Bombyx mori: one gene and its partner. The protein of the gene in region 2 interacts with the protein of the main gene of each other region in a biochemical or structural test. Links are inferred from orthologs where the notes say so. Each region holds a gene or a part of one and is shown on either strand. Other genes may lie near its edges.

Region 1 (10,705 bases), on a different chromosome or scaffold from region 2:
TCCAACCCCTCGCGTACCTCCTCTTCGAGGGTGGAGTCCTCTCCCCCCTCCAAACCAATTCCCAAGCCGAGGAAGTGTTTAGGGACAGTGGAGAGCCCACCAGCCAAGCAGCTGCGTACGCCTCCTCGGTCTCCTTCTCCTACCATCTCCCCCATTCCAACGGATAGGCCAAGAGGTGCCCCCACCACAGGCTGCATGGTGGGCAACCTAGAATCGACTAGGTACATGGACCTTGAACCCTCCGTCTCCAATTCCAAACCAATCCCTATCCCAAACCCCTCACCAGTCCCCTCCACCTCATACGCGACTGTAGCAGCCACGCGACCCGTACCCACCCAACAACACCAACAACACACCCACCAGAGTTCCACTGCCCCAAATAGGTCGCGCACTAAAGAGGAGCCCCGCCGTCATCCACCTATTATGGTGGAAGTGCTCCCAAATTGGTCCCGCCATATGGCGGCCATCAGGGAGCGCTTGGGGAGGGCACCCTCCGTGCGCCCTTACGGAACAGGGTTCAGATTTCTGCCAGCGTCGGCAGAGGAATATAGAGTGGTCCAGGCCTACCTTGCCGGGGTCTCCTCAGCGGACAGTGCCATCAAATGGTATTGCTACGCGTTGGAGGAGGACATCCCGACAAGGGTGGCTATTCGCGGACTACCTGCCGACACCGACGCGGCAGAAATCACAAATTCCTTGAAGGAGCTGGGGTTTCCGGCTCGCTATGCCCGATGCATACGGGCTAAGAGAGGGAGGCCGGGGTGCGTATTTTACGTTACCCTCGACCACCTCTCTAAGGATGGCCTCGCCCGCTTGTACGCAGTTGAAGAACTGCTGTACCTGCCGGGGGTGTCAGTTGAGGGATGGCGGCCAAGCCGTGGGCCGGCGCAGTGTCACCGCTGCCAGGCCTTCGGTCACGCCTCCACCAATTGCCACCGAGCGGTCCGCTGTGTGCGTTGTGCGGGTGAGCACATCGTGGCGAACTGCCCGAGGCCGAGGGAGGGGCCCTTCACCTGCGCCAACTGCGGAAAGGACCACGCAGCCGTTGACAAACGGTGCGTGGCCTACCGTAGGAGGGCGAGGATGTTGGGTTTTACCGTCCCCCCTCCCGTACCACCGGTGCCGCGCGCCCGGAGGCCTCCAGCTCCTGCAGTACCAACACCATCTCAAGCAACTTCGACTCAAGTTCCGGCCGCTAGAGTCGTATCAAGTAAGGGCAAGGGCAAAGGGAAATCGTCCCAAGCCCCAATTCTCGCCCCAACTCCCACCTTACACTCACGGCAGCCCAACCTAGTGGAGTCGAATCCAGCAGCCTCCACACTGATGGCACCGGCTAACGCTGCCCGACCGGCCGTTAGACCTCAACCGGCACCAAGAATTATATCAAAAAAAAATAAAAAAAATAAAAAAAAGAAAGAGAAAGCCAAAGAGAGAAAGCGAGCGCAAAGACTAGCCGCCAATATCCCACCCACCCCAGTAGAGAGAATGACTCCAACTCCAATTTCTGTGCCAATGGAGGTCACAGAAGCAACGCCCCTCCCTACAACCAATACAATACCAACACCAATTGCAATCCACGCTCAGCCCCAAGAAAATTCGGTCGACGTGGGTATGACTCAGCCCCCACTACCACCCCGCCCGCAGAGGGAGCGGCGCAGCGGCAGACAGGACACGCAGCCTGCCGGCTTCGCTGCCTGGCTCCTCTCCCTGTGGGAGAAACTGTCCGAGGTGATCTCCGGAGTGATCCGAGAGATCGCCTCGGGAGCCAGTCCCTTCGGGGCCTTGCTCGCGGGGTTCTACCGGATGATTGCGCAGCTCAATGGCTAGCCAGGAGCTGCGCATCATCTACTGGAACCCCGACGGGATAGGGTCCCGGAGGTCGGAGCTCATCCGACTCGCCCAGGAGTATGACCCGCAGGTTATCCTCCTGGGCGAGACCAAGCTTAAACCTCGACAAGATTTTAGGATGCCCAACTACTTCGTGTACCGACGGGACGAACTGACCTCCAACGGGCGCCCGTTCAGGGGCACTGCGGCGCTCGTCAGGAGGGACGTGGTGCACGAGGAGCTTGAGCTACTGACCTTCGCCTCTACCAGAACGGTCGGGGTGAGGGTCCACGTACCGGGAGCCGAATTGCGGATTTATGCCGCGTATCGACCCCCGGGTCCTGATTTTGTCGAGGACGATATTAGACGGGCCTTGAACCATGATCGCCATCCGGCCTTGGTGGTCGGGGACCTCAATGCGAAACATGTCGCTTGGGGCTCCCGAATCATCATGCCGCCCGGAAGGCGATTGTACGAGGATGCCGAAAGGGGGGACTACTGCGTGGTCGGCCCCAACGAACCCACCCACGTTCCAACGTTGGCCCGGTACCAACCGGACGTTTTGGACGTGTGTGTTCACAAGGGGCTACGGTGCCCGCTAGCGATAGAGGCACTGTACGACCTGAGTACCCCTCACCTACCGATCTTGGTCACGGTGGGTTTGGGGCTCACTCGGGTCGCGACATCCCCTCTCAGGCCTAGGGTCGACTGGCAGTCCTTTACGGGACTGCTGGCCGACCAATCCTTGTTTCAAGACCCGTCTACCCCTGATGAGGTCGACACGGCGGCCTCCCGTCTCGTCGACACCATCAGGGGAGCCCTGGACCAAGTGACGACTCTGGTACCCAGCGGGGGGCCCAGAGCGGAACTCCCGGTGCACCTCAAGACGTTAATTCGTCGGAAGAGGGCACTGAGGAGGCTCTGGGCGACATCTAGGTGTCCCAGGATTAAGCGCGAGCTCAACCGACTTGAGGGTGAGCTGGCGACTAAGATGCGGACTTACCGGGGTGATTCCTGGGAGGGGGGACTGTTGGACGCGTCCGACGACCGTACGATGGTCCCCCTTCACCGCATCTGTCGCCGGCTCACCAACAAGCCTTCCCCCACTTGCCCCTTGGAGGACGAGGGGGGAAGACGGTGTTTTACACCGTTGGCTCGTGCTGAAGTCCTGGCCAACTCGCTGGAGCGGCAGTTCACTCCGAATGTCTCTGCACCCTCGATGGCTGCATTCCATCGCGAGGTGTCAGAGAGCGTAATCCAACTCCTCAAACCGGAATCGCCGGGAGTCGAGCTGGGAGATGAAGACTTAGTCACTCCCAGCGAGGTGCGCCTCCTCATCAAGTTGATGAAGAGGCGCAAAGCCCCCGGCGAGGACGGTATTCCTCCCCTCGCCTTACAAAACCTCCCTCCCTCAATCGTGTCAGCAATGACACGATTGTTTAATTCCATTCTCCGGGTAGGACACTTCCCTGGAACTTGGAAACTGGGCAAGATCATCGTCTTGCCCAAACCCGGCAAAGACAGGAGAAAGCCCTCCAGTTACCGACCGATTACCTTGCTCTCGCACGTGGGCAAGTTGTTCGAGCGGCTGCTCCTGAGGAGAATATCGCCGTATATTCTCCTCAGGCCGGAGCAATTCGGCTTTAGAAGCGGCCACTCGACGACTCTGCAACTGACCCGTGTCCTGCATCACTTGGCGGACCGGCGAAACTCGGGCCAATACACGGTCGCGGTCCTTCTCGATATCGAGAAGGCCTTCGACCGTGTGTGGCACGAGGGGCTGGTCCACAAGCTGCGGGACGCGGGCCTACCGCACGCTCACGTGCGACTGCTCGGGTCGTATCTGGAGGGCAGAACCTTCTTTGTCGCGGTCGAGGGCGCACGGTCTTCCGTGCGTCCCATTACGGCCGGGGTTCCCCAGGGTAGTGTCCTATCTCCTATCCTATACGCCCTCTATACCAATGACATCCCCACCCTGGAGGGTCACCTTCGGGCGTGGGAGGAGGACGTGAAGTTGGCCTTGTTCGCTGACGACTCGGCCTACTTCTCGTCCTCTCCGTTCCCCTCTGCAGCCATCATGAGGATGCAGAGGCTTTTGGATTTACTGCCCCAGTGGCTGGACCGTTGGAGAGTCGCGGTCAATGTGGGAAAGACCGCGGCCTTACTCTACGGTCCGGTCCGTATCAGAGTTGTCCCAAAGAAACTCAGCCTCCGAGGTGTGAATGTCGAGTTCAGGACCACGGTCCGGTACCTCGGATGCGACATCGACCGCTCTTTGAGCATGGTCGCGCACGTCAACCGAGTCATCGGTCAGGCCCGCGCGGCCATGTTCTTGTTGCGGCCGGTGTTTGCGTCCGGGCTTCCGACCAGGACCAAACTCGCCATTTAAAAGACATACGTCCGTTCCCGCCTCACATACGCTGCTGTGGCCTGGTATCACCTGTTGTCGCCGTCCCAGCGATCTAGGTTGCAGGCCCAGCAGAGTCTTTCCCTCCGCATTATCGTCGGGGCCGGGCAGTACGTCAGAAATGACGTTATTGCCCGGGACCTAGGTGTGGAGTCGCTCGTGGAGGCTGCACCCCGTAGGTGCAGCCTCATTTCCATGAAGGGCTTTGACCCCACCCCCCACCCCCTTTTGGGATGGGGTGTTCTTACCCGCTGCAGTCCTCCCCCCCATCAATATTGTATAACGATGGGGAGAGGGGGAGAGGACTGCAGCGCGGAGTGCGGATTTGCTCTCTCCCCCATATTAGGTTAAGTTAGATTAGGATTAGGTTTAGGTGTGACGGCGCGCGCTGTCCCGGCACTCCACGGAGTGCAGGAGCGGCGCGCTGTCGTCGCTTAGATGTAAGTTAGATTAAGTTAGGTGTACTTTAGGTTAAGCTAGGATAAGATAAAATTGTAAAAAAAAAAAAAAAGAAAAAAAAAAAAAAAAAAAATAAAAAAAAAAAAAAAACAATATGGAGGAGAGCAGCAGCCGCCCCCGGAAGAAGAAGGAAGAAAGAAGATGAAGAAGTGAAGACAGAAATCGTCCCACCACTTACCTCGAGCCTGTATACAGTCCATCCCGCAGTGCATCACCCCTGCCTTAATAGGCGGGGAGCTACAAGTCCGGGTAGAGGGGTTTCCCCGAGGCCCGCTCCGCGCCCCCGTAAGGGGACGCGACGACCCCACGACTGCAAATTCAGTTCGAGACAGCGAGCCGACGAGTCAAGACCTCTCCAGAAGAAGAGGAGAGAGCCGTCGAACAAGAAAAGACTCGCTCCTACGCCCTGCGCCGGTCAAGCCACGAGGACCGTGTGAACGCCATACTTGAAGCCTTCGTTATTTTCCTCGAACCAATCCCAGCACCCGTTCCGCGACAGCCACTGCGGCAATACTCGAGCCACCACGTTTCAACGAGTAAGAAGTCTAAAAATCACACGTGGTGGCCGAAACCTGAGCGGTGGCCGTCCGGAATATTAACCTATTAAGTTAACCTCTGGTGTTACGTTGCTTATTTATTTAAGCTAGTAATAATAAGCTTATTAAATCAAATTTACCCGCTGATTATTGACACCGAAAGCACATTATTGGGTGGGCTAACCAAAAACCAAAATCATCCAAAGGAATCTTTTAATCTTGGAATGCCTTGCCGTAACCACAGGTTACTATGGGATACTGCATTTTGTTATACGAAAATGCAAACAATGAATTAAGAAAAAATGTGTGTTTTATTAATTAAGTAGTTATTTGTGCAATAAGAAACTTTGCTCTCGTGTAGCACACATAACTTCTACCTCAGCAGTGAGAAAGTGAGAACACATAACTTAGGAGACATAGATGAACAGGAAAAGATTGAAATAACTAATAAATTCCAAAATCTAATTTCGAAGGAGTTTGTTTTTTCACTCGCTTTTTTATACGCATGTGAAAGAGATAGAGCACAGTAAACTTCGAATGTTTCAAATTAATGGCTGAACAATGTCAGTTCGTGGCACTGAAGATTGAAAACTTAAAAAGCTACTTTGATCCAAGCTCGAATCAAAATCGCGTTTTGTTCAATGTTGTCTCACAGCAAAAGCTACATATTTGAGCTGCTGAGGTGAAAAGGTATTTTAACGGTCTATTTTGATACATATGGTCCATTCCATTTAAAGTTTTTTTTTGTGATTATAGGTTATAAGGATAAGGATAAGATAAGGATATAAGGCTATTCCATTCAAACAAAAAATATTTTGTTTTGTAAACAAAAGTAGCTCATTTAAATATCGGTTTTACAATACATGTTTGTTCACTTTTTAGAGTAGTCTGTTAGGCTTTTCTTTTAAACGCGAGATACGTTGCACTATAAGTACCATTACTGTCAACAATGTTAAATGTCTACCTTGCTTGCTCTACTCTGTGCCATTGTGATATTGCTATTTGTCGTATGTACATTACATACCCATTTATTAACTAAAACAGATTGGTTTTAAGAAATGAAAACATTTTGTATGTAGTCATTTGCTATAAAACATTTTACTCGAAGAACTGTAAACACTCAAAAGTTAACAATTCATGTGAACATGGCAAAAACAAAGGTGACAGGAGCCACTAGCAGATTGAAGCAGGATTATTTGAGGCTCAAGAATGACCCAGTACCATATGTTACGGCCGAACCTGTGCCGTCCAACATACTGGAATGGCATTACGTCGTTAAAGGGCCGGAGAAAAGTCCCTACGAAGGGGGATATTATCATGGAAAGATTATTTTCCCAAGGGAATTTCCGTTCAAACCACCTTCGATTTACATGATAACACCGAATGGCAGGTTCAAGACAAACACACGATTGTGCCTCAGTATTACAGACTTTCATCCGGACACTTGGAACCCTGCTTGGTCTATTTCTACGATCCTTACAGGTCTGTTGAGTTTTATGTTGGAGAAGACTCCTACATTGGGGTCCATTGAAACTTCAGAATACCAAAAGCGATGTTTGGCTGCAGAATCTCTAGAGATAAACATAAAAAATAAAATGTTTTGTGAATTGTTCCCTGAATATGTAGAGGAGATTGAACAGCAATTAAAACAACGACAAGAGGCAATGTTGTTGAATCAAGACAGTGGTGCAAATGAAGTAACCTCTGAGCCACAGTCTAGTATGAATTGTATTTTGACAAATCTGTTTGTTCTTGTAGCTTTTGTATGCCTTACTTACATGGTCAAACATGTTTTAGGATCATATGAATAGTCTTAAATTTATCTTATTGAGCAAAAGAAACAAAATTCACATCTGCCGGCTGGTCTTTTGTTTTTTAAATGTTTATAATTACATTTATTTGCTCTACAAATGCAATGTACATATTGTAATTTATTTTGTAAATAATTGTTATTCAATCTTGAAATAAACCCATGTTTGACCTTAAATAAAACTTGATTTTATGTAGGTAACAATGTATAGAGTTTAACATGCATTGCATGAGGAATGTCTACTAAGGTTTTGCTACTTTTACCGTGTCATTTATTTTTAAATGTATTCAACAACAAGCCTTTATTTGAAGACCGAAAGAGCTGTTAAAAATAAAGATTGAAACAAATTTATATGAATCTTGAAAAGCTGACTATAGACAGCAATACCTATGGTGATTAATAACTAGGTATACTACTATATAACTAATTTATTGAATTGGAGTAATTGTTACGTGAGTAAATTAAATTTTATGATTTTATTTAATTTTTTCAATTATTCCCTAAGAAACTAAATTTCAATGTAAAAATATATATGGTGAAATCTAATAAATTTTTGTAAGCAGGATTTCTAATAAAGGTTTTTTTTAACAAATCTTAGTAGTGTTCAACAAAATATTTAGGCATTTTCAGTATTGTATACAGTATGCATTAAATATGATTTTCTATAGTAGAAAAAGTTGAACCATGGACCTTTTAATGCTAAAGTACACAATAATAAAGCAATACAAGGTTTAAGACTTGAATGAATATATGTCAAATCACCATAAATTGAGCAAGATATGTTTTGTTATGTATCATCATACTATTTAGATTTGACCCTAAAATGTGAGCTATTAAAACTCAATTTATAAAAAAATGTCCTTACCTGAGATTGCACATCAGAAATATTTATATTTACGGAATTCACATTCAAATGCATGCTTAATTTCTTTATACTGTTCAAAACGTTTTTATGCTAAGTATATGTTACACCTATGTAATTATTGTGATTTTATGTGATGAATCTTCGTGAATTAATATAGTGGTTTGTCATTGTTAGTAAATGCTAGCCCATTTGCCTTTTGTAGTCCAACATTTAATGTTAATATCACATAGATTAATTTAGTCTTCACTGAGATAAATTATATATACATATAAAGATATGTTGGTACATTTTATGATTTCTTGAATATTATTTATATCACTTGTAATGAGCCTTGTCGTCGTTTACGAATTTCGACCATAAATCTAATAAATTTGTACGGAAAATGAAAGGCATTTTATCTACCTTTAGGTTTGTCTAAACTTTATACGTAATGGGTTTTGAGCTCACCAGCATTAACATAGAAGTTGGAAAGCACGTATTATAGTTTTTAGAACATGCATAACTATTGTTGAACTATTGAGATGAAGAAATGTTGGAAAGGATGTTGACAAAGGTTCATATTATTTTATTCTATTCATCTGCAACATTTTTCTTTATTATGACGAAATTTACTCACAGCCCAGAAATATTACTAAGACACTTTTTATATGCAGACATGCATACGGCCCACGTGATGGTGGTAGTTACCGTCGCTCATGGACGTCAGTGATGCCAAAGGTACAGCCAAGTCTGCCCATGCTGAGGGTTCTCCTCAAAGCACGTTACAATTTTTTACTTTCAGTTTCAACTTAGCAATTTCTATTTTGTGATAAATGTCCATTTCCTATTCCACGGGAAACAGAGACTCTTACACATATGTATAAAATATATACTTATTAAATACCCAGATAAGTCGATGTAGCCGAAAATGATAAGTCACCCGATACATTCGTACTGTGACTGTAATCTAGTTCGAATCCCGCAGGCAAGTACCACAAGATAGGTAGGTACATATGTATATTAATTGAGAATTAATTTTTATTTTTATTTGGTTTATATACTATATACTTATATATATTATGGCACACATAACAAGGCCGATGCTAGAATACATTAATTGAATAAAACGGTCCGATTATCCTGGTCAGGATCTTCAGGACTAAGCAAAGGGTTTTCTTAATCACACCCATGCTTGCAATAAGCATTAAATGTAAATTGTCCCTTCGTAATAATATTACGAAGACAATTTACTTCGCTTAATACTAATAAGGTGACACTTAGGTCTATGGTGACACTACAAAACTTACGTACGCCCGGTCATGACTTATGCAAGTGTAGTGTCGCTGACGCCGCTCGCACTAATTTGAAATTTTGAAACCTCTTCAAGTCATTCAATCCCGTTTTTGCAAAATAGCCGTCGGAGTACCATGGTCTTTGAAGAATGTGGATCTCCATGATGGTCTGGAACTTGACTCGATCAGTAAGTATTATATACAGTCGGCATCAATGCGCCACTTTAAGAAGGCGGTACGACACGAAAACCCTCGTGGTCGATGGAAATTACATACCGTGGATCGAACGCTAAATCGTCCTAACACATCATTACGAAAGGGCTCGGCGATTAAATTAATCCATAGACACACCCACTGAGTTTCTCGCCGGATCTTCTCAGTGGGTTGCGTTTCCGATCTGGTGGTAGATTATGCGAAGCACTGCTTTTGCTAGGGCCAATGTTCTAGGCCAGTGGCCAGCAACATCTCCGGTTTGAGCCCCGAGAGATCACCTACATGCTAGGGTAAAGCTGATATAGCCTATCAAGGCTATCAGCATAGGTAGGGAAAAAAAAACATTTTTTTACTATTTTCTATTTTTGAGTACAGCTAGCTACAAAAGTGTATTTTGGTTACTGTTATTTATTATAAATAAAATGTACTACGCTGAGTATTAGCTTTACAGCGACACTTAATGGAACTTTGAGCTCATGTCAATCGACAACAACGAAGGGCCTCATTCATGTTGATCTGTATAGGATTTGGTAACTACAGTACACAAGATTTACCTTCAGAATGTTCACCCATCTTAAAATAGATGGCTACAATACTCGTTGTCGCAGTTAGAATCGTTGAAAATTCAAGAGTAAACTGATAAAATAATAATTATTACATATAGGTACGTTTTATTTGTTTTCTTATTTAGATATTGTTTGGTCTTGTAGTTGGAGGTTACTCTACAGCAGAGCGAGCTAGATGTTCGGTCGGAGTCCATATTTTAGTTAAAACTATTTTACCTATATATTTTTTTTGCTTTTCCTACCTAAGCTGATAGCCGTGAGAGGCTATTTCAGCGTAACCTGAACTAGTAGGTGAGCTCACGGGACTCAAACCTGACGACGTTGCTAACACGAACCCAAGCAAGAGCCGTGCTTCGCAAAATCTACCACCGGATCGGAAACGCGATCCACTGAGAAACTTAGTGGGTTAATTTACTCGTCGCAAGCGACGGGTTCGACGTGAACGATGCTTGAGGTGCTTGAGGTAAAAGCACCGTTAGTGGATCGGGAGGATCCGAAATGACGTGTTTTGGGCTACGTCGATTTTATATAAATTAAAGGTCATTGGGTAGTGTTTCTTGCCTCACATGTGCGTTTGAAATAACCATAACACAGAATTAAATTCTTATTTGGGGCCACACAATGGAGTTTGCTTTATTCATTTTTGAAGTGACACTTCTTTAGGCTCTTCGAGAGTAAAATTTAACTCGCGTCGGATTAGTTACAGCTAGAGAGAAAATATATAATTTAGGAAGACCGAGAGTGAGAAAAT
Region 2 (10,605 bases):
GCAATGCTAACAGCTTACACGCTGTATACTAAGAAGAAATTTTTAGAGGCAATAAAAAAAAGGTCCTAACGTTAGAAAACATGTATTAAAGTTTTACTATAACTTTGCATAAATGTAGCAGTAAAAGCTGTAGGCAGTTGAATATTCATATTTTGTTAGCCAAGTCAGTTATGGTGGTAGGACCTCTTGAGAGGCAGGTAACCTGCCTATTTCCGCCGTGAAGCAGTAATGTGTTTCGGTTTGAAGGGTGGGGCAGCCGTTGGAACTTTACTTAAAACTTATATCTCAAGGTGGGTGGCGCATTTACGTTATGGATGTCTATGGGTTCCAGTAACCACTTAACACCAGGTGGGCTGTAAGCTCGTCCACTCTACTAAGCAATAAAAAAAATCGTACAAGTGGTATTGAAGACGGTCAATCGACGATAACAAATAGCTAACCGCCTTTATTTTCGGCAGGTGATCCTTCCAGCTCTTCTGGAGCAATCTCACACGAGGACGTGGTTAAAGATGGCGGTGCGAGCTTGGTGCGTGTGCGCTTCTGGTCTCCTCGGCTTGAGATCGTATCTGCTTGGCGAGATATCGCGACAGGCCGATCCTAATCCGCCCCCACATCTGCCTCATCAACTCGGTGTCGCTCATCAAGTAAGCTGAATAATTGTTTTTATAGACAGTGTAATAGGAAGGCATATACTAGTGCTATAATCTTCTTCTTCACCTTATTCCACTAGGTGAGTCGGCACAGCTAATTTTTCTCTTCCATTCTCTTCTATCAGCCGTCATCTCAACACTCACTGCTCTCTCTCTCTCTCTTATCGTCATTCACACACTATCCATGTTTTCTTCGGTTGACCTCTTCCCCCTCTACCTTGCACTACCATTTCCATATATCTCCTAGTCACATGTATCTTGTCTCTATGCACCACGTCACTAGTGCCATCATTATTTTTTTAAGGGATTTTATGACCTGGTCACTAAGACCTTCAAGTCATGAGTGCCATAATATCAACGAAAAAAAAAAAAAAACATTTTTCATAAATGTGAATGAGCCATTTTTTTTGAGATGGTTTTAAAGTGCTATTCGGATTAGATATGTGTCGTTCGCGAACGAACGAATCAAACGACCCGGGTCTCAAAATCCGCGCGAACGATAGGTTCACTTCAAAAAATATGAGTCGTTCACTAGATCGACTCGTTTAACAAAACCTACGAATCAGAAGAAAAGAACCATACGACTGATAGGACAGTCATTCGGATCATTTCGGGTTGCCGCGTCTCGCCCCGCGCCCATCTCGGTTAGTCGTTCGTTGTCGCATAATGACACATAACGCCTTTGTATTGTTTTGATCTCACGTAAACAATTGAACTATAACAGTTCCTTTAAACTGTTATTCAATACTAAACTTTATCCAGCCAGTGACCTGATAATATTAATTACGTCATAAATTGATGTGATACTGAACGTTCGACGTTCGAAACGTTCGACTGAACGCGTCGTACGAACCGGATCATTTTGTCAACAGGTCAGTATTGATCTGAATCTCTAAAATTGAACGAACGACACATGTCTAATTCGGATAAGCCCATAGACCGTGCGTTATCTCTCTTAAGACATGAGAAAATTTCAATTACGTTTTGTAATGACTGTCCTACGCTTAAAGGCGGGTCAAGTGACTGCTTCGCGGTGGAAACGAGCGATATGGTGGTACCTTGTGGTGCGTGCTTCAAATACGCCTCGGTAAAAGTTTAATATGTTGTCTCTTTCTCCCAGGCCCTGATGCGTCGCGACGGTCCAGCGGCGGTGGAGCCCTACATCCGCGTGTCGTGGTTCCCGCTAAGGTTGGCCGCGCTGCTTGTGCTGGTCTCTATTTCGCTCGTGTTAGCGAGTGCAATGACCCTTGTAAGCCTAACGTTATTATTGTTGTAATGTATTATTTTCGACAGTTTTTTTTACATTAATGATTTTTTTTACGTTAGGAAATTCGTCTGTAAGAGGTATTAGATCAATGAATAATTTTTTGTGTGATAATTTGATTTTAATTTCAGGTAATTCCAGTAGCGATCGGCAGAAAGGTGATGGCGCTGTGGATGCCTAAGGCGGCTGAGAGAGTTCACGAACTGTATACCGCTGCATGCGGTAAGTAAACAAAAAAAAAATATGTGTGGTGTCGTGGGACACCGGATAGGAACGAAGTTCCTTATTATAAAAATATTAATTTAAAGTTCTACTCGAGGTATAAAGAAAATAAAACTGGAGGTTTCGCAACAACCCACGTTCATTCGGTAACGTGCGAACTTATTGTGGTACACTTCATTCACGGTTTTTTGCATAAGAGTTGGTTGGTGTATTGCGCAAACGAACGCTCTGAGATCGTGGTCAATGAATGATAAAAAAATATGTTCTTTTTTGTACGTTATAACAAAGTTAAGTCGTACACTGTGTGCATTACTAATAAAAATCTTACGTTACGGACGTTATTTCCCGGTTAGGATACCCCTCCGCATCGTCCCGTAAGGAACTTCGTTACAAAAACAATTTTAAACGAATATAATAAACTCGGTTAAAATGATCAGAGCACTTAAAAAAGCGATAATTCGATCGAATTGCGTTTGTTTGCCTCCCTAATTTAATATAATATGTTATCAGATGCACGTAGCGTATGTTCCTATTCGCTGGATATAGGTTTCATGAAAATGAAACAGTTTGTTCCATATCGAAAAGTCGAATCGAGGCGAACAAAACTTGGGGTCAACAACCTCCCTCGGTCGCGCTTCAGTTAATATTTATTTGCGTTCCATTGCGTTCTGAATAAAAAGCCGGTAATGTTTAATTTGTTTGTCTCTTTAGTTCATTGGTTACTGGGTTATGTTTACTGTTACGGGTAACAAACACTATAATGTACATTTTAACTCAATGAATGTGGATATTTTTAGTTACACTTTACTTTATTTGTATATAAAGATGTCAATAAAATAGTTAACATATACATTGAAAAGTACAATGACGATCTTAATTTAGTGTTTTTTTTTTCTTCTGAAAACTAAAAACGGATCGAAATAATAAATAAATAAATAAAAACAAAAGAGAAAGGGAACAAAAATGCTATTTAAAAACATAAAAAACATAATAGTTAGCTCAACTAATCTTTTTTTGTCGAATTTTTTTTTTTTTTTTTTAAATTGGTTTTGATATAATGTCAACGGTCCTTGACCACGGTACGCTTGCAAGTTTTCAAGTTAATTTGATGTCCTGAAATTTGTGACAATTCCTTTGAAAGATGTGTTTGCATATATAGATGCATAGATATAGGTTGAGTGGTACTGTTACATAATAATATGTTCCTCAATAATAATGCAATATAAATAATAATGCAGACTAAGGCATTCCTGAATGCATCGTCTCTATATTTTATTTATTTCATTTACTTCAGATTTTGCATCCATATTACATTCATTAACATTTCATTTAGTATACTAGAATCAAATAAAAACAATAACTACAATCTCGGAATAAAACAAAAGACGATTTATTTCTAAAGCGCGGCAGAACAGAATTGGCTTAAGTAGCGGAAACACACATCGTTTGTTACTATTTCTTTTATAAAATAAACTCTTTATTCCTTGCTTTGAAGGGTGGACGAGCTCACAGCCCACCTGGTGTTAAGTGCTTATTATAGCCCATATACATCTACAAACGTAAATGCGGCCACTCACCTTGAGATTGATTTCTAAGGTCTCAGTATAGTTACAACGGCTGCCCCACCCTTCAAACCGAAACGCATTACTGCTTCACGGCAGAAATAGGCGGGGTGGTGGTACCTACCCGTGCGAACTCAAGAGGTCCTACCACCAGTAATTACGCAAATTATAATTTTGCGGGTTTGATTTTTATTACACGATGTTATTCCTTTCACCGTGGAAGTCAATCGTGAAGGTTTCTTAAATACGTATTTAATTAGAAAAATTGGTACCCGCCTGCGGGATTCGAACACCGTTGCATCGCTCGATACGAATACACCGGTCGTCTTATCCTTTAGGCCACGGCGACTTCAAACTCTCTCTCTCTCTCTTCAAAGACTCCGTGTCAGCCACAGTTTCCTTTTTACACGCTTTGTATTAGCTTCACTTGTCGCGCATCTTTAGACGCGATTTTGACCCACTTTAAACGGCCAGAATTCATTCAAACTTTGTAGATTTATCAAGGACCGATGACAATACACTAATTTGATAAGATTATTCCATTATTCAATTTGAAAATTAAGATTTTTGCCAATTTATATAATTTTTATCTATAGTCGATAAGGCAGGAATTGATGTTAAAGTACTTAATAGCTTTAAAAACTCTCTTTTATAGAAAATTTAACTAAAAAATAGAAAATAAATTGTAATAAATTTAAATTGAAAATAGTATAAAAAAATATATATTTTATTTAAAAAAAAGCGTGGTGTGCCATTAAAGATACTAGATGTCCCGCAGTAATCGAAATTCGACTATAATTAATTGGAATTGTAAGTTTGTACACTATTATGATTGTATTTTATACTTCTATAATCACAAATTTCGCCAAGGCTACACTATTAAAAAATATCAATAAAGAAAAACAATATTTAATCTATCCTCAATTTGACCACAGACGTCAAGAACAAAAGTTTGACAATAAATAGTATGCATGCGTGTGTGCGTCAAATACATGGTATGTAGTGTGTGTAATGTTTTCTTTATTGATTTACTGTATCTTTTATGCATTATTTAAAAAAATATTAGCATTGTGCACTTCTTCTCTATATTCTGTATAAGTGTGGAAAATTTCATACTCTATCGTCAGCGCAATTTTCGTAAAAAGGGATACAAAGTTTTTGCTTCACGTATTAATATATAGATTACTAGCGACCCGCCCTCGCTTCGCTTCGGAAACATTAAAACATACATGAAACCAAAAAAATTAAATAAAAAAAAAGTAGCCTATGTTCATCAGGGACAGTGTCGGCTTCTAATGGAAAAAGAATTTTTCAAATCGGTCCAGTAGTTTCGGAGCCTATTCGAAACAAACAAACAAACAAATCTTTCCTCTTTATAATATTAGTATAGATTGAAATAATAATTCTTCTACTCATATCTGTCAGAAAAATATTTATAACTAATAACAAACACCCATGTACCCCACGCTTTTTTTACAATAAAATATAATTTTTTTACACTATTTTCAATTTAAATTTATTAAAATTTATTTAAAATGAGCTCCTGGATCCACCCCGTCATGACAGTACGTCCTGTGCAGGTATGTACGTGAGCTGGGCGGCGGGGCGGGCGGGCGTGGCGGCGGCGGGGTGGGCGCGGGGCGGGGCGCGCGGGGGCCTGTGGTCGCGCGCCGCGGTGTGGGCCCGCACGGCCGCCCGCGCCGCGCTCGCCGCCGTGCTACTGCTCGGGCTGGTGCCGCTCATGTTCGGCTTGCTGCTCGAACTGGTCAGTTACAACATTATCTACACTTTTGGATCATTTTTTTGAAGTGAAAACTTCTTTAGAATCGTTGTGATTTCAAACCGGATGCAACGGAAAAAAACGACAGGTAAGAGACACAAATACAAAAATGTGTAGGATGAAGCCAGCAAAGAATGAGACAGAAATATACATACTATTTAATACAGCGCCATCTGTGAGATTTTTTAATACTAACGTGTGTATGAAAGCTCTTGTAGTGAATTTTAATTTAGGATTATACGTGAAATTAAAATATCAATTCACAGAGGGCGCTACCTTACAATTATTTACTAATGACAAAATTTTACATATACTTAAGACGTTTAGGATAATTGTATTTTAATTTTGGAAGGTTTCACTTCTACCACGTGTGAATTGCACACATTTTGTTTTTTCCTACCTAAGCTGATAGCTTAAATTATATCTCATAATATTTTTCGTTTCTAAGATCGGTCTTTAGGTGTGTGTCTTTAAGTTGACTTTCTACCTAGGTTCTCGTAATACCACTGAGCGTTCCCTTGGAGCAGTCCCCTGTGTTATTCGTGTGGCAAGATTGGGCTCTGGGCGTGCTGTATACGAAGATAATGTGCGCCCTCACGATGATGGGACCCGATTGGAGCATGCGCCGTGCCCTCGAGAAAGCGTACCGGGACGGCATCAGAGAAATGGATTTAAGGTTTGTTTTATTTTTGTTTTTTTTTTATTTTGTTTTTTATTGCTTAGATGGGTGGACGAGCTCACAGCCCACCTGGTGTTAAGTGGTTACTGGAGCCCATAGACATCTACAACGTAAATGCGCCACCCACTTTGAGATATAAATTCTAAGGTATAATTATTGCCTTTGTAGGCAGACGAGCATACAGCCCACCTGATGGTAAGTGGTCAGCGTCGCTCATGGACGTCAGCATTGCCAGGGGCAGAGCCAAGCCGCTGCCTACCATTAAGTACGTCGTCGCGGCCTAAAGGATAAGACGTCCGGTGCATTCGTTGTTGCGATGCACCGGTGTTCGAATCCCTCCGGCAAGTACCGATTTTTCTAATGAAATACGTACTCAACAAATGTTCACGATTGACTTCCACGGTGAAGGAATAACATCGTGTAATTAAAAATCAAACCCGCAAAATAATAATTTGCGTAATCACTGGTGGTAGGACCTCTTGTGAGTCCGCACGGGTAGGTACCACCACCCCGCCTATTTCTGCCGTGAAGCAGTAATGCGTTTCGGTTTGAAGGGTGGAGCGGCCGTTGTAACGATACTGAGACCTTAGAACTTATATCTCAAGGTGTGTGGCGCATTTGCGTTGTAGATGTCTATGGGCTCCAGTAACCACTTGACATCAGGTGGGCTGTGAGCTCGTCCACCCATCTAAGCAATAAAAAAATAAAAAGTACTCTTCCCAAGCCTCGTTTGAAGCAGGAGCTTTGAAATGTTTGCATATCTAGTGACGCTGTGGGCGTATCTTAGGAATCGCGTATTGATAAGATAAGGTAGCGCGGAGACGTCTAATTTTTTCGAAGTAACTAGCCAACCTTTACATTTCTCGGTTGGTATGTAATTTCACACGTCATCTCTGATCCTCCCGATCCACTAACGGTGCTTCTAGGTCCTCAAGCACCGGTCACCGTTCTCGTCGAACCCGTCGCTTGCGACGAAGGGCTCGACGAGTAAATTAACCCATAGACACAGCCCACTGAGTTATTCGCCGGATCTTCTCAGTGGGTCGCGTTTCCGATCCGGTGGTAGATTTTGCGAAGCACGGCTCTTGCTAGGGTTCGTGTTAGTAACGTCGTCAGGTTTGAGCCCCGTGAGCTCACCTACTAGTGAAGGTTACGCTGGAATAGCCTCTCAAGTCTACCAGCTTAGGTAGGAAAAAAAAATGTAATTTCACTACATGTGATGTCATTTTAGAGTGAAAAATAACGTGATACTAACAGAAACGCTAATAAACAACGAATACGGTGAACGTATGATATAGTAGGTTTTAGTTCGTGGTTCAACTTGACTTGAAAAATATACTACATCTTTTTTCATTGCTTGAATAAAAATAGTAAATTGTGCACCAAGGGAGAAAATTAGGTCATCTCCACCCGGGTGTAAAATGGCAAACACGCGGGATTAGATGTCCTGCTTTTTTCCCACGGTGCACGTACTATTTTTTCTCCTACTAGGTCGAAAGTTCGTAGAGTACCGAGCCGGGGTCCAGGGTCGAAGCCCTGGTAGGGGGTAGGGGGGGTAGAGTCTCCCCATACTCATAAAAAACAATTTAACTGTTTTTTAATTTTTAAATAAACTACTACTAATTAAATAAGAACTGTCTGATGAACTCATCTTTGTTTAATACTTTCACTATTAAATTTTATTGTCTTTTGTTTATTTCACCTTTACACTAAACACAATATTGCAAATTACCCGAGCACAACAATGGCCGAGAATTTTAGATGCGTGAGAGCAGACGTAGACACTGACGCGCATGTGCACTTGTAGTACCCAGGGAGGAGAAGTTACACTTTTAACCCTGTACAGCGGGAGTAAAAGTTAGACTTTCTTCCCTGTACAGCGGGAGGAAAACCGAACTTTCGGCGTAGGTAGGAGAAAAAAAAATTGTTTGAATTATCGTTTTTATTTAAATTTACGTCTTAAGTGCAAAACGAGGATTTCGAATCTTTTCGAGGTGGCCTAAGAAAAACCTAGACATCTACGTCGTGCGAATGTTGGAACATCAGTTTGATTTAGTGCAGGAAAGAGATGAATATATATCTGAGATGTCCTATTAATTACTGCTTTGACGGTTTTGTTATTCGCGAAGTCTCTTATTTGTGTATGTCGGCTCTTTGGTTTATTGATTTGCAAAACAAGTAACGTTGATTATAATATATCCCCTAACTATTTAATTATTCATTTTTAACTTAAGTAGCTCTTTGTTTTTTGAACATTGTTGTTTGTTTGTGTGGTTCCAATAGGTATAATTTGATGGTGCATGTGTGTGTAGGTTTATCGTGGGGTCGGTGGGTGCCCCGCTGGTGCGGTGGCTGGGGCTGGCGCTGGCGGTGCCGTACGCGGCGGCGCACAGCGTGGCGCCCGTGCTGGTGTCAGGGGCCGCCCAGCGCAACCTGCTCGTGCGCCGCCTCTACCCCGCGCTGCTCCTCGCCGCGCTCTTCGCCTCGCTAGCGGCCTTCCAGGTAACACCACCACCACCACCACCATCACTACCGCCTATATAATATCTATGTTACGTAAAACGTTACGTTTTGGCGAGATCTGTAACTACAGAAGTATTTGACAATAGAACCTTAATAATTTTCAAACTTATAATTTCAATTAATTCTAGTCGAATTTCGACTACTTGGCGACCACTAGTATAGTATTAGATATCTATGGAGCTAGTATTAAATAAATACGAACGGATCTTTATTCGCAGATCCGCCAATTCAGAAAACTATACGAACACATAAAGAACGACAAGTACCTGGTAGGTCAGCGGCTCGTGAACTACGATCACCGGAGACAGAAGCAGCAGCACAGCAGTGCCGTCACGTCGACAAACTGAAGCCTGTTCGCTCCGTGCCTCTAAAAATTTATATCGATCTCATTCTAAGGGCCTCTGTCTAGGAGCGGCGTTTTCTCGACGATTCTGAAGTCGAAACTTCTCTCGTACTTTCCTCCTTTCCCATTAAGAACGATAAATAAAAAGGTTGCTTTTAGTAAAGGAAACAAAAAGATAAAAAATAATTGAACTGATATTTTATTTGTTCCCACATCGACCTGTATAATGAAAAGCAATTTTAAAAATATCTATATACGATTCAATTTGTATTAATTATTAGCATAAATTTTACCGTCTTCACCTCGTTCTCTAACCTTCTCTTCTGAACTATTCTAATACAACGAAAATTTTATTGTCACCTTAACTGCCAACGGTCGTCGTCGGCGCGTCGCCGGAAAATCGTTACTTTGACCTAAAGGTCTTAGTTACCAGGTCATAAAATTCCTTAAAAAAAAAAGAAAATCGCTACTCTAACAAAGCACCGTTCCACGGGTCGATCGAAGCGGCAGTGAGTGTTGCACGCGTGTCGTCCTCAATAATAACAGTACAAAATTATTTTAGCACGAATACGGGGTTTAATAAAAAAAACCCGTCGGTTACACCACTGCCTACCAGTGAAAAAAAAACGATATTTCTCGGGCGGCGGTGTAACAGACTATACTATTAGGCTAATTGAAATTAAAAAAAAAATGTACTGCTTCCATTTTTAAAAGTCTTGTCAGTACAAGCTCACTTTAAGGAGCGATTGTAACGGCATCGCTGTAATGACAGGAACAATGTCCGTTCTTGTCGTACGAAGTCACAATTTATAGTCGGATTTTTTATTAGACGAAGTCAACTGACGTTTACTGTGTTGTCAGTTTTTGATGAAATAAAAATAGTGTTGTGACAAAGTGAACGTATGAAAAAACTCCTGAATTAATGAAATTGCCTCGATTGTCTAGTGAATAGTTGGTGTGCCGAATTGCCGATATCGGGTACGGGGTTCGTATTTTAGGCGTGCTTTGTACATACCAACGAGTTTTCGACGAAATATTATGTTCCTATAGTATCTACCTGTACTGAATACCGAGTGTTTTAAACATTGCGAGGAAGCTTGTAAGACTGTCCTATTTCCAATACATCATATAGTTGAAATTATAGATGTATAAAATATAACAATTATTGGTAGGTAATGAAAATAAATAAAAACTGATACTACTAGTAACATATATTGGAGCACTTTAATACAATTTTATTGTAAAATATAAATAATATTCTTTTATAGTTTGAAATTAATGATTAACTCTTCACACTCATTGTTCATTCATGTGATTGAACGAGAACTGAACGCATCACTATTACTTTAAATATAGCAACATTATTTCACAAAGTGACATTAGCTACTGTCAGCTGGCTTCGTCTAATTAAAAATCCGACTATATTTCCATATATTTGTAATTTATTTATTTTTGTAGAAATTTCAACGCGGATATCATCCTAACTTTTCGTTTTCCTCTCGTCGTAGACACGTTTAGAAATTAGTTTTGGGTCGCGTACGGATTTTTTATTAGGCTACACATAGGGACAAGCTTTAGGAAT

What was found.
Region 1: the proteins of E3 ubiquitin-protein ligase MARCHF6 (region 2) and ubiquitin-conjugating enzyme E2 J2 form a complex in vitro, tested with the Homo sapiens proteins (2 studies listed by BioGRID, with this or other methods). The link is inferred for Bombyx mori from reciprocal best matches to the Homo sapiens genes MARCHF6 and UBE2J2.

The regions. Positions count from the first base shown.
Region 1 is NC_085127.1:11,023,802-11,034,506, reverse strand, and holds ubiquitin-conjugating enzyme E2 J2, read left to right. Parts: upstream 1-4,556; 5' UTR 4,557-6,374; coding exon 6,375-7,040; 3' UTR 7,041-8,292; downstream 8,293-10,705. UniProt on the Homo sapiens protein: Catalyzes the covalent attachment of ubiquitin to other proteins. Seems to function in the selective degradation of misfolded membrane proteins from the endoplasmic reticulum (ERAD).
Region 2 is NC_085117.1:16,833,393-16,843,997, reverse strand, and holds part of E3 ubiquitin-protein ligase MARCHF6, read left to right. Parts: intron 1-458; coding exon 459-644; intron 645-1,770; coding exon 1,771-1,899; intron 1,900-2,045; coding exon 2,046-2,136; intron 2,137-5,278; coding exon 5,279-5,463; intron 5,464-5,969; coding exon 5,970-6,154; intron 6,155-8,469; coding exon 8,470-8,659; intron 8,660-8,898; coding exon 8,899-9,027; 3' UTR 9,028-10,605. UniProt on the Homo sapiens protein: Endoplasmic reticulum membrane-associated E3 ubiquitin ligase that plays a critical role in mitigating endoplasmic reticulum stress, the regulation of cholesterol and lipid homeostasis, and ferroptosis.